Linked DNA regions of Anolis sagrei. The main gene of each other region encodes a partner of the protein of the gene in region 2 in a complex. Links are inferred from orthologs where the notes say so. Each region holds a gene or a part of one and is shown on either strand. Other genes may lie near its edges.

What was found.
Region 1: TAF11 (region 2) and TAF6 share a complex: the UniProt entries of both Homo sapiens proteins name them as parts of the TFIID basal transcription factor complex. The link is inferred for Anolis sagrei from reciprocal best matches to the Homo sapiens genes TAF11 and TAF6.

What each region holds. Positions count from the first base shown.
Region 1 is NC_090026.1:539,781-547,392, forward strand, and holds the start of TAF6 (transcription initiation factor TFIID subunit 6), read right to left. Parts: upstream 3,005-7,612; 5' UTR 2,891-3,004; coding exon 2,705-2,890; intron 936-2,704; coding exon 849-935; intron 98-848; coding exon 1-97. Other genes in the region: MBLAC1 (metallo-beta-lactamase domain-containing protein 1), read left to right, coding at 5,426-6,073. UniProt on the Homo sapiens protein: The TFIID basal transcription factor complex plays a major role in the initiation of RNA polymerase II (Pol II)-dependent transcription.
Region 2 is NC_090024.1:189,429,060-189,436,102, forward strand, and holds the start of TAF11 (transcription initiation factor TFIID subunit 11), read right to left. Parts: upstream 3,013-7,043; 5' UTR 2,979-3,012; coding exon 2,826-2,978; intron 1,165-2,825; coding exon 1,022-1,164; intron 387-1,021; coding exon 299-386; intron 63-298; coding exon 1-62. UniProt on the Homo sapiens protein: The TFIID basal transcription factor complex plays a major role in the initiation of RNA polymerase II (Pol II)-dependent transcription.

The sequences.
Region 1 (7,612 bases), on a different chromosome or scaffold from region 2:
GGTCCACCTCCTTCTCCTCGTAGAAGTACAGCTCGCGCCCGCCACCGCTGGCAAAGCGGAAGGGGATGAACTCCTGTGCGCAGAAGCCGTACAAGGGCTGCAAAGGGAAGGGGAGGAGTCAAAGCTAAGCCCCGCCCCCTCCAGGCCACACATCAAGGAACACCCTCCTTAGGCCCCTCCCATTTACTCAAGGAAGCCTCGCCCCTTCTCTAGACCCCGCCCCCTCCCTCTCTCAGGACCGGGGAGCCTCAATCCAGACTCCAAGGGGGGCTCAAGGAAGCCCCTCCCCTCCCTGGGCGGTAGAAGGGGTGGGGCGTGTCAAGGCAAGGCCAGAGGAAGCCCCGCCCCTCACTCAAGGAAGCCCTGCCGCCAGTCCCCTAATCAAGGGAACCCTCCCCTAGGCCCCTCCCACTCTCAAAGAGGCACCCCCTTCATGCCCTCTCTTGGCTGGGGGGGGGAGAAGGGGAGGGACTGTCAAGGCAAAGGCTTGCCCCCTCCCATAAGTAGCCACACCCCCTTTCCTGGCCCCTCCCCTCTCCAATGAAGCCCCGCCCCCTCCAAATCCCTAATGGGGAAAGACTTGCCTAGAACCCTCCCTCTCCCTCAAGGAAGCCCCCCCCTCTCCAGGCTACATCCCTCTTTTCCCTGGGCCCCTCCCCTCTCTCAATAAAGCCACACCCCTACAGACCCCTAATCAAGGAAGCCATCCCTCTCACAAGCGAGCCCCTCCACTCAGTGAAGTTCTGCCCCCTTCTCTAAGCCCCGCCTCTCTCTCGATGAAGCCATGCCCCCAAGACCCTCCCTCTCACACACAGAAGCCCCACCCCCTCCCCTCCCCAGAGACTGACCTCCACATTCTTGAGCTTGAAGGCACAGTCAAGGTCGGCAGTGGCCAAGCTGCGCCGCTTGCCCATCCGCATGAACTTGAGCGCCTCCTGCAGGGGAAACAGGGAAAGGGGAGTCTCCGTCACGAAGGGGCCTTGTGGATGTCTGGGGGGGGGGGGAGAGGAGGTGTCACCAAAATTTGAGAAATGTGAATTGAATATTATGTGTAGGAATGAATGGAAGAATGGAAGATGAAGGTATGAGTGGTAGGGCTGTCCAAACACGGAAAAATTTGTTTCTAAACTCGATTCGTTTTTAGGGGTTTTTTGCGTTTCGTTATTTAAAAGAATTCCGAAATTTTCCTTTAAAAAAGTTCGATATTTACAAAATTTCGGAAATCAAAAAACCAATTACAAAACAATTATGAATCGATTACGAATCGATTCGTTAATGGCGGCCGCGATCGCTCAATACGCTAAAAAAACTTCTGAAGCTTCCCTCTCCCTCTGTTGTTGACTGTTGGTGTGATAATTATATTTTTTTTTCACTGAGAAAACAAACAGCAACCCTAAAACGTGCACCAGACATGCGGAAATAATAACGAAACATTTACGAATCAATAACAAATCAATAACGAATCAATTTCGAAAAGAATTGGAAAAATTCGTTTCGTTTTTTAGTTGCTCCTGAATGGTTCAATATCGCTTCGTTATTTTAAAAAAAATAACGAATTTTTAACGAATTACGAAATTACGAAACAAAACCGCCCAACCCTAATGAGTGGATTTAATAATTTTGGAAGCACCAGTAAAATATGAAGGCCTGCAATGACTAACTACCTGTTTGCTGGACTGTAATTAAAAGTTGCTAATAAGAACTGAAAAGTCAACTCTGATAAGGACTGTGACATTTGCTGGACTGTAATTAAAGGTTGCTAATAAGAACTACAAAGTAAACTCTAATAAAACCGTGACAATGGTTCTTTCAAGTTAAGGAAATGTTTGCAACCTTCCTTATGTTAAGAAGGAAGTCAACACAAGCCTTGTGTTTGTCAACACCAATCAAGAAGATCAACATCTGGCTACCATTCATTTATTAACTTTATTTGTACCCCGCTAGCATCTCCCGAAGGACTCGATGCGGCTTACACGGGCCGAAGCCTCAAATACAATACAATAGAAACATAACACAACAATAAACAAAGCAAATCAAAACAATTAAGCAAAATAACCACAATGACAATACATCAAGACATTATTAAAACTGGTTCGGCCAGCGCAATGGGGTGCAGGGTTAAAAGTGCTGAGATGGCAGGAGGAACGTAAGATTAAAAGTGCGGTGTGCAGCAACAATAGTTGTGCTAAAGTGCTTCTAGGACTTGGGATGGGGATTCCTAATCTGCGAAGGCACATCGGAACAGCCAAGTTTTTAGGTTCCTTCTGAAAACTGCTAGGGTAGGGGCCTGACGAAGCTCTTTTGGAAGGGCATTCCAAAGTCGGGGGGCCGCCGCAGAGAAGGCCCTGTCCCGTGTCCCCACCAAGCGCGCTTGCGACGTAGGCGGGATCACGAGCAGGGCCTCCCCAGATGACCGGAGTGAGCGTGTGGGTTCGTAGATGGAGATGCGGTTACAGCTTTGGGACGACATCAAGAGAATATTCCTATAAAAGACTCAGTCTAATAATGCTCAAAGTGTGGCAGACCTGAGGAGTCTGTTCCACCCGCCATGCTTTGCTCCATGGGAAGGACAGAGATGGTGTATTCAGAGAGTGTCAGATATGCTATTAGCATAGCACAGAAGACAAAGTGGAGTCCCAGAGTCCCCTTGTGCCTGTGTGTGGGGGAGGGGTCCCTGCCCCTTCCCCCCCCCCCTTATTCTGACCTGGGCGACCTGCTTGAGGCGGTAGCTGACCTCCTCGGCCAGGAGCTGGCAGCTTTCCTCGGGCAGCGCCGCCAGGCCCACCGCCTCCGCCATCGCCTTCACAGACTCCGGGGGCACCTGCCCCGCCACACCACCGCCGCCGCCCCCTCCGCCGCCCCCCTTCCCCGCACGCTTCTCCTCCGCCATCGCCCCTTCCCTCACTCCCTCACTCCCCGGCCGGAGGAGGGCGGACTCCTAGAGCGGGAGCTCCCGCCGCCTCAAGACCCGCCAATGGCTTCCCTCCTTCCACTGCGCAGGCGCCGCGCCACCGAGACGAGGGCTGACTCCTAGAGTGGGCGTTGCCGCAAGCCCCGCCAATGGCTTCCCTCCTCCCACTGCGCAGGCGCCGCGCCACCGAGACGAAGGAAGATTCCTAGAGCGGGTGCCGCCGCAAGCCCCGCCAATGGCTTCCCTCCTCCCACTGCGCAGGCGCGGCGCCACCGAGACGAAGGGAGATTCCTAGAGCGGGTGCCGCCGCAAGCCCCGCCATTGGCTTCCCTCCTCCCACTGCGCAGCCGCCGCGCCACCGAGACGAAGGGAGATTCCTAGAGCGGGTGCCGCCGCAAGCCCCGCCAATGGCTTCCCTCCTCCCACTGCGCAGGCGCCGCGCCACCGAGACGAAGGAAGATTCCTAGAGCGGGTGCCGCCGCAAGCCCCGCCAATGGCTTCCCTCCCCCCACTGCGCAGCCGCCGCGCCACCGAGACGAAGGAAGATTCCTAGAGCGGGTGCCGCCGCAATTCCCGCCAATGGCTTCCCTCCTCCCACTGCGCAGGCGCCGCGCCACCGAGACGAGGGCTGACTCCTAGAGTGGGCGTTGCCGCAAGTCCCGCCAATGGCTTCCCTCCTCCCACTGCGCAGGCGCGGCGTCACCGAGACGAAGGGAGATTCCTAGAGCGGGCACTCCCGCCGCCGCAAGTCCCTCCAAATGCCTTTCCTTCCTCCCCACTGCGCAGGCGCGGCGCCACCGTAACGAGGACGGACTCCTAGAGCGGAGCGATTTCTCCCCAGGCTCCGCCCATGCTCTTCCGGCTCCACTGCGCCTGCCCAAAAGAACTGGTCGCTCCTGAGGCTTGGCTCGAGTTGATCGTGGCCACCGAGAGGAGGGGAGATTCCTAGAGCGGCGCTCCCGCCTCAAGGCCGGCCGATGGCTTTCCCCCCCCCACACACACACACTGCGCAGGCGCGGCGCCACCGAGACGAGGATGGACTCCTAGAGCGGGGCGCTCTCGCCCCCATGCTCCGCCCATGCACTTCCGGCTCCATTGCGCCTGCCCAAAAGGGCTAGTCGCTCCTGAGGCTTGACACGAGTTGGTTGAGGAAGGGAAAACTCGGCTACTCCCACCATTCCTCACAACCGGTATCATTATATTATTATTATTATTATTATTATTATATTTCTTTATATATATTATTTTTCATATAATAATAATAATATCTTGTTTTAATATTATTAATTTATCATTTTTATATTATTTAAATATTTATTACTATTTTATCGTTTTACCATTATTTTATAATGATAATATTGTTATATTTATGACATCATTTTCATAATATTATGTTATTAATTAATTATTGTATTATTCTTTTATGGTTTCATAACAATATTGTAGTTATTACATTATTATCATAACATGTTATTATTTTTGTTTTGTTTTGTCATTGTTTTATAATAATAATATTGTATTTATTATATTGTTTTATAATAGTATTGTTTTTATTATTATATTATCGTCATAATCTTGTATTGTTTGTTAATATTTTATGGTTTTAATGTTTTATTATTTGATAATATTATAATATTTATTATTGTATTATTTTCATAATATAATGTTAATTATATATTATTCTATTATTATTTTTTACATTATAATATAATATGTTATTATACCATTTTCATAATATTGTATTATTTGTTAGTGTTTTATCATTTTTTGTTTTATTGTTGTTTGATAATATTATTATATTTATTATTATATCATTTTCATAATATAAAATTTATTAATATATTATTATATTATTGTATTACATTATTATATAATATGTTATTATTATTTTCATAATATTGTATTATTTGTTAATTTTTATCAGTTTTTTGTTTTATTGTTGTCTGATAATATTATATTTATTATTATATCATTTTCATAATATAAAATTTATTAATATATTATTATATTATTGTATTACATTATACTATAATATGTTATTATTATATTATTTTAATAATATTGTATTATTTGTTAATGTTTTATCGTTTTTTGTTTTATTATTGTTTGATAATATTGTTATATTTATTATTATATTATTTTCATAATATAATGTTTAATAATATATTATATTATTGTTATATTACATTATACTATAATATGTTTATATTATTATTATCATTATTATTATTATTATTATTGGCTGTTAGAAGTTGAAGTCCAAAACACCTGGAATGAGTGAGGTAGGGAAGGAAGACCTGTAAATCTATAATAATAATAATAATAATAATCCTTTATTTATACCACGCTACCATCTCCCGCAGGACTCGGTCCGGCTTACAAGGACTGAAGTCCAAAACACCTGGAATGAGTGAGGTAGGGAACAACAACAATACAACAATAAATAACTCACCTACACCGTAGTCTCTCTCCTCTCTCCCCCAGGAAGAAGCCCCTCCACTCCTGAGGAGGATAATGTCATCGCCGTCATCGGCCGTCCCTCTGGTGATGGGGGGCTCCCCGTACTCGGTGGTGGTGCTGCAAGAGGGCTTCTCGGAGGCCTTGCCGGACGGCGGGATGCGGGCGGAGGGGACGGTGGGGCTGGTGCTGGGCCCGCAGCCGACCCTGGTGGACACGGGGGGGCCCTGGGGCCGGGAGCGGCTGCTGGCGAACCTGGCCGCGCGGGGGGTCTCCCCGGGGGAGGTGCGGCACCTGGTCTGCACCCATGGCCACTCCGACCACGCCGGGAACCTCAACCTCTTCCCCTCGGCGCAGCTGGTGATGGGGACGGACGTCTCCCTCCCGGGGGGGCGCTACCTGCCCACGGGGCTGCGCCAGGGCCAGCCCTACGTCCTGCACGAGGGGCACCTGGAGGTGCTGCCCACCCCGGGACACACCGCCGCCGACGTCAGCCTCCTGGTGCGCGGCACGGAGTTGGGGGACGTCCTGCTGGCCGGGGACCTCTTCGAGCGGGAGGGGGACGAGGGCGTCTGGGAAGAACTCAGCGAAGACCCCGCCAGGCAGGCACAGAGCCGGGCACGGGCCTTAGAGCTGGCCGACATCATCGTGCCCGGGCACGGGGGCCCCTTCCGGGTCGACAGGAGGAAGAGGAGCCAGCAGTGACCTTCCCTGACCCTCCTCCTCTTGGGTCTTGCTGCCCTTCCGGGTCAGCAGGTGGGGAGGCCGTAGAGGGCAAGCAGCAGGAGTGACCAGCAGTGGCCCAACTTGGGGTCTCCATGAAGAGAATGATGCTCCAGCCAGCAGTGACCTTCAGTGACCTGCCTCCAGTTGGGTCTTGCTGCCCTTACGGGTCAGCAGGTGGGTCAGCAGGTGTGGGGGGGCTAGAGGGCGAGCTGCAGGGGTGACCAGCAGTAGCCCACCTTGGGGTCTCCATGAAGAGAACGATGCTCCAGCCAGCAGTGACCTTTAGTGACTTGCCTCCAGTTGGGTCTTGCTGCCCTTATGGGTCAGCAGGTGGGTCAGCAGGTGTGGGGGGGCTAGAGAGCGAGCAGCAGGAGTGACCAGCAGTGGCCCAATTTGGGGTCTGCATGACTTGGGGTCTCCATGACTCGGGGTCTCCAGCAGTGACCTTCCAGGACTCACATCCAATTGGGTCTTGCTGCCCTTCCGGCCCAAGAGGTGGATGCCCCCTGGAGCAGCAGCAGCAGGAGTGACCAGCAGTGACTGACCGTCCGTTCTCTAGGAAGAGAGTGACGCTCCAGACCAGCAAGACCCTCGAAGCAAGCGCCTCAATGACAAAGGGCAGAGCAGAGAGCAGGGGTCTTCTGGGGAGAGTTTTTGGGGAGGGGTCTCTGGCAGGTCCTCAGCAATGAGGGGCAACCGGAAAAGGAGTGACCAGCCCTGACCTTCCTTGACCCCCCTCCAATTGGAACAAATGGAAGTAAATAATCAAGAGGGGACCTTTCCCCTGATGGCACGTGAGCCGATCAGGGACACAATAAAATAACTAAAAGTGGGCTGCTGTGAGTTTTTTGGCCGATATGTCCCAGTAGCATTCTCTCCTGACATTTCTCCTGCATCTGTGGCAGGCATCCTGAGAGGTTTGTTCAGAGGTCTTTTGGAAATGAGGCCAGCGGAGTGTAGATGTATCTATCTATCTACCCATCTACTTGTGGAATGAAGTCCCGGGTCAGAGAAAGAACCCTTGCCTGTGTGAAGCGAGTGCGAGTGTTGCAACGAGCAAGCTTGAGTAGCCATGAAGCTGCAAAGCCAGTCAGTGTTGTTGCCTGGAGGCACCCTCTGTTTAGGAGGTGTTCACTGGCACCGGTTTGTTTGCTGTCTGGAATCCCACTAAACTAAAAGTGTGTCTCAGGTGGTTGCTGAGGAAAAGAAGGGAGGACTCGGGTTGAATATTCCTTTCCTCTCTGGGAAGAGGAACCCTTTGGGTCAGCAGGAGGAGGGGTCCCGGACCCAGCAATGACCTTTCCTGACCCATCTTGAGATCTCTGTGAGGAGAGAGACCCTCCAGGCCAGCAACGCCATTAAAGCCTCAATAAAAAAGAATGGAGCAAGGGCAGGAAGGGTCTTTTGGGGGGAGGAAGGAAGGGGCAGTGTCAATGGGAGGGACGGAGGGTCTTCCATGGGGAAGCAATAGCTGACCATTAGGGGACTGTGGCTGCAACAAAGGATGGAAGAGAACTC
Region 2 (7,043 bases):
ATCCCTGACATGGCAATAACCACATTCTGAGAGACAGAGGTTCCAGTAATTGACTGGATCAACTGAGAAAGGAGAAAGGATACAAAATCCAGTTTTATAAATGTGCATTTGTAATTTTTAAATCTTATACATCCTTATGTAATAACAATCCTAGTAGCTGCATCACTGACTGGGATAAGTCAAAATGACAGATTTTATCCAGTCAAAACACTGCATCTACATTCTTCATATTACACATAGTGATCAAATCAACAGGCAAATCTAAAACAGTTCAAACCAGACTAAAGCACAACCTTACCCGTTTAATAGCAGCCTTCGGAAAAGCTGATCTACGATACATCTCATAGCGATTTAGCTGTTCTTCAGAAAAAGAGGAAACTAGTATTCTTGAGGAAAACAATAACAGCATGGAATTAGAGACATCATTCGATCTACAACTGGTAGCACACTTAAAGCTACAGGAAGCACACAGCTTTGGAAGTCAGAGACAATACCATAACATAATTCCTATTGATAAAAGAATGGATTGACTCCAGACTTTGTTTGCATCAATGGTAGCTCTGACGCATATTCCATTATGAATGTTCCTGCTGATTGGGAGAGGGAAGCATCAGTTTCACTAATTTCAATTTTATTTCCTCCAGTGCTCCCAGGGATATCTCACACCAGGAACCAAACTTTTAAGGGATGCACAGACTGCTACTGCAGACAAAGGAATATGCATGCACTGGCTTTCTGGATCCAGTCCCGTAAAAATAGTCTAAAAGGGACAGGAATGCATATCAATAAATTAATTTAGGAGTAATTATTACATACTTATTTGAAATAAGCTTTTCCATCTTTATGGGGGGGAAGCATAGACAAAGAGGTTGCAAGCCCCATCAAGTGCTTAATAGCGTGTATCTCCAATAAATAACAGCGCGAAACAAAAAAGTACAATATTGTTCACTAGCAAGTTTAGTCTTCTACAGGTTATTAGGAACAACGAAAGTTATGCATCAGGTAAAATAAGAGTACTCACTGCATTTTTTGAATCTCATCTTCATCAACTTTATTCTTTTTATCTTTTTTATCTTTTATCTCTATTTTTACTTTCTTGCTTGCAGAAGATGTTGACTCCTCTGTCTCTCCTGTGAGCAGACCTACAGAATCCTCAGTTCTGATCTAAGAAGAAAATTATTTTCAGCTTAGCTATAATCCTAACATAGTTCTTAAATGTCTAACCATAACTCATGACAGAACTTATAAATCATAGCTGATAAACACTAAAAAATTCAATTTAAGAATCTGTCTTAAATGGGCAAAACACAAAGATAGCATTCTTCTGGCAGAATGGCAGGGCCAGGTCTAACTGGGAAGTGTGTGTGTGAAGTAAAGAGCCAGCCTATTACAATTACAGAATGCTGTGATGAGAGACTTGTAGTGGAAAGGAGAAAATATAGATCATTGCTTCTTAAACTGTGGGTCCTGACCCCAAATAAAGTCAATTTTGGGGTGGCAGCAGTAAAAGGTTCTGAATACCACCGATTTACACAAAACTGTTAGCAACAGTGTTTACAGTGGATTCCGCTGAAAATGTTTCAGCTATACTTTTCAAAAAGTAAAATCATTCTGTTTAGCAAGCCTTGCAAATGCTGATTTATTATCAGTAAATGTGTAATTTTTATACCTATTTTATATACCTATATACCTGGGATCGCATAAAAATTATCAGACAGAAAGGGGTTGCAAGTGGAAAATGTTTTAAAAGTTCTGATGTAGAGGCTTGTCTGTTAAAGAGCCGGGGTCCTTCAGAAACACAGGAATATGGATAAAACTCAGGACCTTGTAGAAAGAGATGGATTCATAAAATTGTAATAGGTTTTAGGGAGCTGAAAGAGTTGTAAAGGTTCAAGGAGAAATGACTTTCTTTGAACTAGAGGTGGTTGCCCTTTTATCACTGATCACCCATTCACTTGCCCAGTGCAGTGGTCTCCATGAAGCCTCAGTATCAGGTCCTGGGAGGGAATCTTTAAGGTAAAAGGGCAAGATGAGTGACAGAAGCTCAAGGTATTGTCGAAGGCTTTCATGGCTGAAATCACTAGGTTCTTGTGGGTTTTTTCGGGCTATAGGGCCATGTTCTAGAGGCATTTCTCCTGACGTTTCGCCTGCATCTATGGCAAGCATCCTCAGAGGTAGTGAGGTCTGTTGGAAATAGGACAATGGGTTTATATATCTGTGGAATGGCTGGGGTGGGGCAAAGAGCTCTTCCCTGCTAGAGCTAGGTGTGAATGTTTCAACTGACCACCTTCATTAGCATTTGAAGGCCTGCCTGAGCCTGGGAAAATCTCAAGGGTTTGAACACGACATCAACCTGAAGAGGGGTTCCATCACAGTGTGCAATCCTCCATTCTCCATGCAGCCCCTTTCCTTTGAATTTGCAAAAACAGTTCTGGGGGGTGACACAATTTTCAGATAACACAGGGCACATCTACACTGACCATTTAATGCTGCTTCAAACCAGTATTGAAAAACGTGGTTTTGCTGTGTAGATGGTTGCTTAGGAGATCCTGGAATGAATCTGAAGCCTGCATGATGATGACACAAAGCACTGATGCACCTTGAGGGCTTTATTTTGCACATTTTTTGTGACAGTTTGTTATCTCTGGCCACCAGTTTGAAGGGGCCTGAGGCTGTGAGGGATGGTGGGAGTTGGAGTCCAAAACACCTGGAAGGAGAGCCCAAGTTTGCCCAGGCCTGCTGCAGCATAAATGCGGCCTGCTCCCATTAGAACAGCCTTGGCTCAAAGCTGAAAGATCATAGAAGGCCCTCCCCTCCCTTCCCACCTCTCCAGGCGCCGCTTCCCGCTCCTTCGGCTCCCCGGGGCCCTTCTCCTTCCCGTCAGCCGCCCCCGCAGCAGAGACAGGCGGCTCCTCGCCCGAAGTCGCACCGGACACAAGCACGGCTTCTTCTCTGCGAGACACCGCCGGCTCCGCCATACTGGGAAAGGCCTCTGTCGCGCCCTGATGACGTCATCGCAGCCGCCTTGCCCTTTCGTTTCCTTGGCAACGGAAGAAGCCAGCCCAAGCCTGAGCTCTCATGGAAGCAACTGTGTCCTTACAGCACTGCACTGTATGGATTTGATGCCACTTTTAACGGCATTGGAATCTGGGAGTGGTAGTTTGGTGAAGTCCCACCACTCTGAGGCAGAGGAGGATAAAAAAAATTGCAAATCTACAACTCCCATAAGTTCATAGCATTAAGCGGTGTCAAACTTCACTAATTCTACAGTGTAGATGTGCCCCAAGCTGCAGCCCTTCTCCGAAATGCTTGGGATCAAAAACATTTCTATTTTATTTTTTCAAATCCTAGAACTGGAGGAGACCTCGTGGGACCTCGTGGGCCATCCATTCCAACCCCCTGCCAAGAAGCAGGAAAATTGAATTCAAAGCACCCCCAATAGATGGCCATCCAGTCTCTGATTAAAAGCCTCCAGGGCAGAGGGTTCCATTGCTGAACAGGTCTCACAGTCAGGAAGTTCTTCCTAGTGTTCAGATGAAATCTCCTTTCTTGTAGTTTGAAGCCATTGTTCCGTGTCCTAGTCTCCAGGGCAGCAGAAAACAAGCTTGCTCCCGCCTCACTGTGACTTCCCCACACTTATTTATACATGGTTATCGTGTCTCAGCCTTCTCTTCTGCAGGGTAAACATGCCCAGTTCTTTAAGCCGCTCCTCACAGGGCTTGTTCTCCAGACCTTTGATCATTTTAGTTGCCCTTCACTGGACACATTCCAGCTTGTCAATATCTCTCTTCAATTGTGGTGTCCAGAATTGGACACAGTATTCCAGTTATGGTCTAACCAAGGCAGAATAGAGGGGTAGCATTACTTCCCTGGATCTAGATGCTATACTCCTATTAATGCAGGCCAAAATCCCATTGGCTTTTTTTGCTGCCGCATCACATTGTTGGCTCTTGTTTAACTTGTTGTCCACGAGGACCCCAAGATCTTTTTTACATGTACTGCTCTCAAGCCAGGCATCCCCCATTCTGTATCTTTGCATTTCATTTTTTTTTCTGCCTAACTGGAGTATCATGCATTTGTCACTGTTAAACTTCATTTTGTTAGTTCTGGCCCATCTCATCTGTTAATATCGTTTTGAATTCTGCTCCTGTCTTCTGGAATATTGGCTATCACTCCCAATTTGGTGTCATCTGCAAACTTAATTATCATGCCTTCTATGCACAAAATATCTTGAATATGGAACCTGATTAAACAATAAATTCATTTGTGTTTCATATACACCATATACACATAGGCCAAAAGCAATTCTACACACAATATTTTTGTGCCTTGAACAAAGTTTGTGTACATTGAACCATCAAAAAGCACAGCTGCCCATACGGACAATTTCGGCATGTTTCATATTCCAGAACTTTGGATAAATGATGCTCAACCTATTTTGTTTGTATTATCACTGTCCAAGGAGATGTTTTAGTTGTGTATTTGAGAACTTCCTCAATACTGAGGTGGTCAGGATTCAGGCACGCTTTGGTATGTTTTAAATTAACACACATGTGAGGCATGGTTTTCTACCATCTTTCTTTCAGTTGTAGCCTTCAGTGAACAGAAATGTCGAAACAACAGATATGAGGGGCATTCATTAAAGATTTTCCCTGACCCACTTCCTGTGGACTGAGAGCAATCAAACTTGACACAGTTATTAGTCCTTCTCTACCTAGACCCAGCGAGAGGATACCTTATGCATGTGAAGATGGTCTTGGGAGATTTTTTCCAAAGACTCCACAATAATCTTGACATATCAGGCTAGGTGGTGAATGGCAATTTTCCAAAATGGTGACCTCCACTTGCTGGATGATGTGTTCATCAATAGCAGAATGGGTTGTTCCTAGAGTTGGAGCTGTTTCCACCGAAGTCTGACCACATCTGAATTGACGATGCCAGTTCTTGACTACCTCATATGATGGAGAATCATCACCATAAACCTTTTTCATCTTATTTAACGCCTCCTTTGGTATGCAGCCTTTCAAGTAAAGGAACTTGAGGATTGCTATGTATTCCACTGGGTCCATTATCAAACCTCACACCACTTCAACACCTGTAAAATCAAGACTGTTATCCGTTCTGAGGTGTAAATTGGCACAAACGTATAGAGACTTATATCATTACACATGTGCAGTTTCAGCATCCTGTGATAAATAGAAGAGGGTTGGGGAAATCTTTAATGGACACCCCTCGTATGTATGAAAATCAAAGGCATGCAGGCACTTGGGTCTATATAGCCTCAGAGTTGCTAATATTATTAAATCTCTGGTGAAAATCAAATATTCTATTACTTTCCTAAAAGCATGATAGCTTTTGTGTTGTCGAAGACTTTAGTGGCCGGAATCACTGGGTTGCTGTGAGTTTTCCGGGCTTTATGGCCATGCTGCTGAAGCATTCTCTCCTGACATTTTGCCCACATCTGTGGCAGGCATCCTCAGAGGTTAAGGGATACATTGGAAACTAGGCATGAAAATTAACAAAATCTGGCTAACAGTATTTTAAAAAACCCTCTAAAATCAGGACAGTAAATAAAGAACACCACTCTGAAAACAGGGGAATTCCAGACAATACTCCATCAGGTAACACCACCCAACAAAAGAATCCCCCAGGCAGCAATCAGCCAGGCATTGAAGCTGCCAGGCCATTAAATGTTACTCAAGGTGGCCATTTGCAACATTCACACCTACCTCAAGCAGACAAGAGTTCTTTCTCCCACCCTGGACATTTCACAGATATATAAACCTCACTTGCCTAGTTTCCAACAGATTCCTCAACCTCTGAGGATGCTTGCCATATGTGTGGGTGAAACGTCAGGAGATAATGCTTCTGGAGCATGACCATACAGCCCAGAAAACTCACAGCAACCCACAACAGCTTTTCTTCACATTCTAGATATGTGGAGAATTTGTTTACAACTGACTATAACAAGAGGGAGGGGAGCAATGGCCAGCACATACTTGTCTCTGAAGCATACTTCAGATGTGATAGCAATCTAGCCTAACTTGATGAACCTGTACTGAAAATTTCATTTTCAGAGCCCTGTTTAATGTTGTTTAATTGACATCAGCAAAATGAGCTCAAGAGAGCCTGTGTTGAGGCACCTGCACTCTTTGGCAGAGTCCCAGGATTCTATAGCATGGAGCCATGAGAATTAAAGTGCTATGGAACTGCATTAATTTGACAGCATAGATACACCCTACATCTGACAAGATAATGGGCTATATTAAATTGTTAGTACTAATTAGAGTACTCCCAGGCCCCTTCTACATTGCCATATAAAGTCCAGATTCTCTACTTTCAACTGGATTATGTGATCGTGTAGATTCATATAATCCAGTTCAAAGCAGATAATGTGATTTATCTGCTTCGATAATCTGGATTATATGACAGTGTAGAAGGGGCCCCAGTACATCAGCTGCTGGATAATAAATCAACACATATGTTAGTCCCACTGGTTCAATGGGGCTATTCTAGTTGGAACTAATTTGATTTAGTGCAATGCTTTCAAGTATGAGCATGGTGTAAATAGTATAGGAAAAGAATACAGGAAATCACACATTGACATATTCCAGAGTTCAAGTAATAATGATAATAGTAATAAAAATTATAAATTTCTTATTACTTGTATCTCTTGATGGCTCGAGGCGGGATACAACATAGTCAAAAACATATTAACATAAAATATATAAAATAAACAATTTTGATCAAACACACACACACATATATAAAACTTGCACCAGACACAGATACAAAATTGAAATATTGCAGCAACAGAATGCAAATCAGAACTTATGATTGAAGGTTGATTGTGCCTTTGAGTTCAAGCTACCACTTCCAATACATTTGCAGTAAGTAGAGGGGAAATTAACTGCAGATGCCTTTATCCATCAAGTCAACTCACTGGTGAAAGAGTTTAGTATGTTCCCTACCAGGAGAACCAACACCATCTCAATGTGACATGCCATTTATTATTTCAGTGGGCAAGGTGGGATAAATACTTA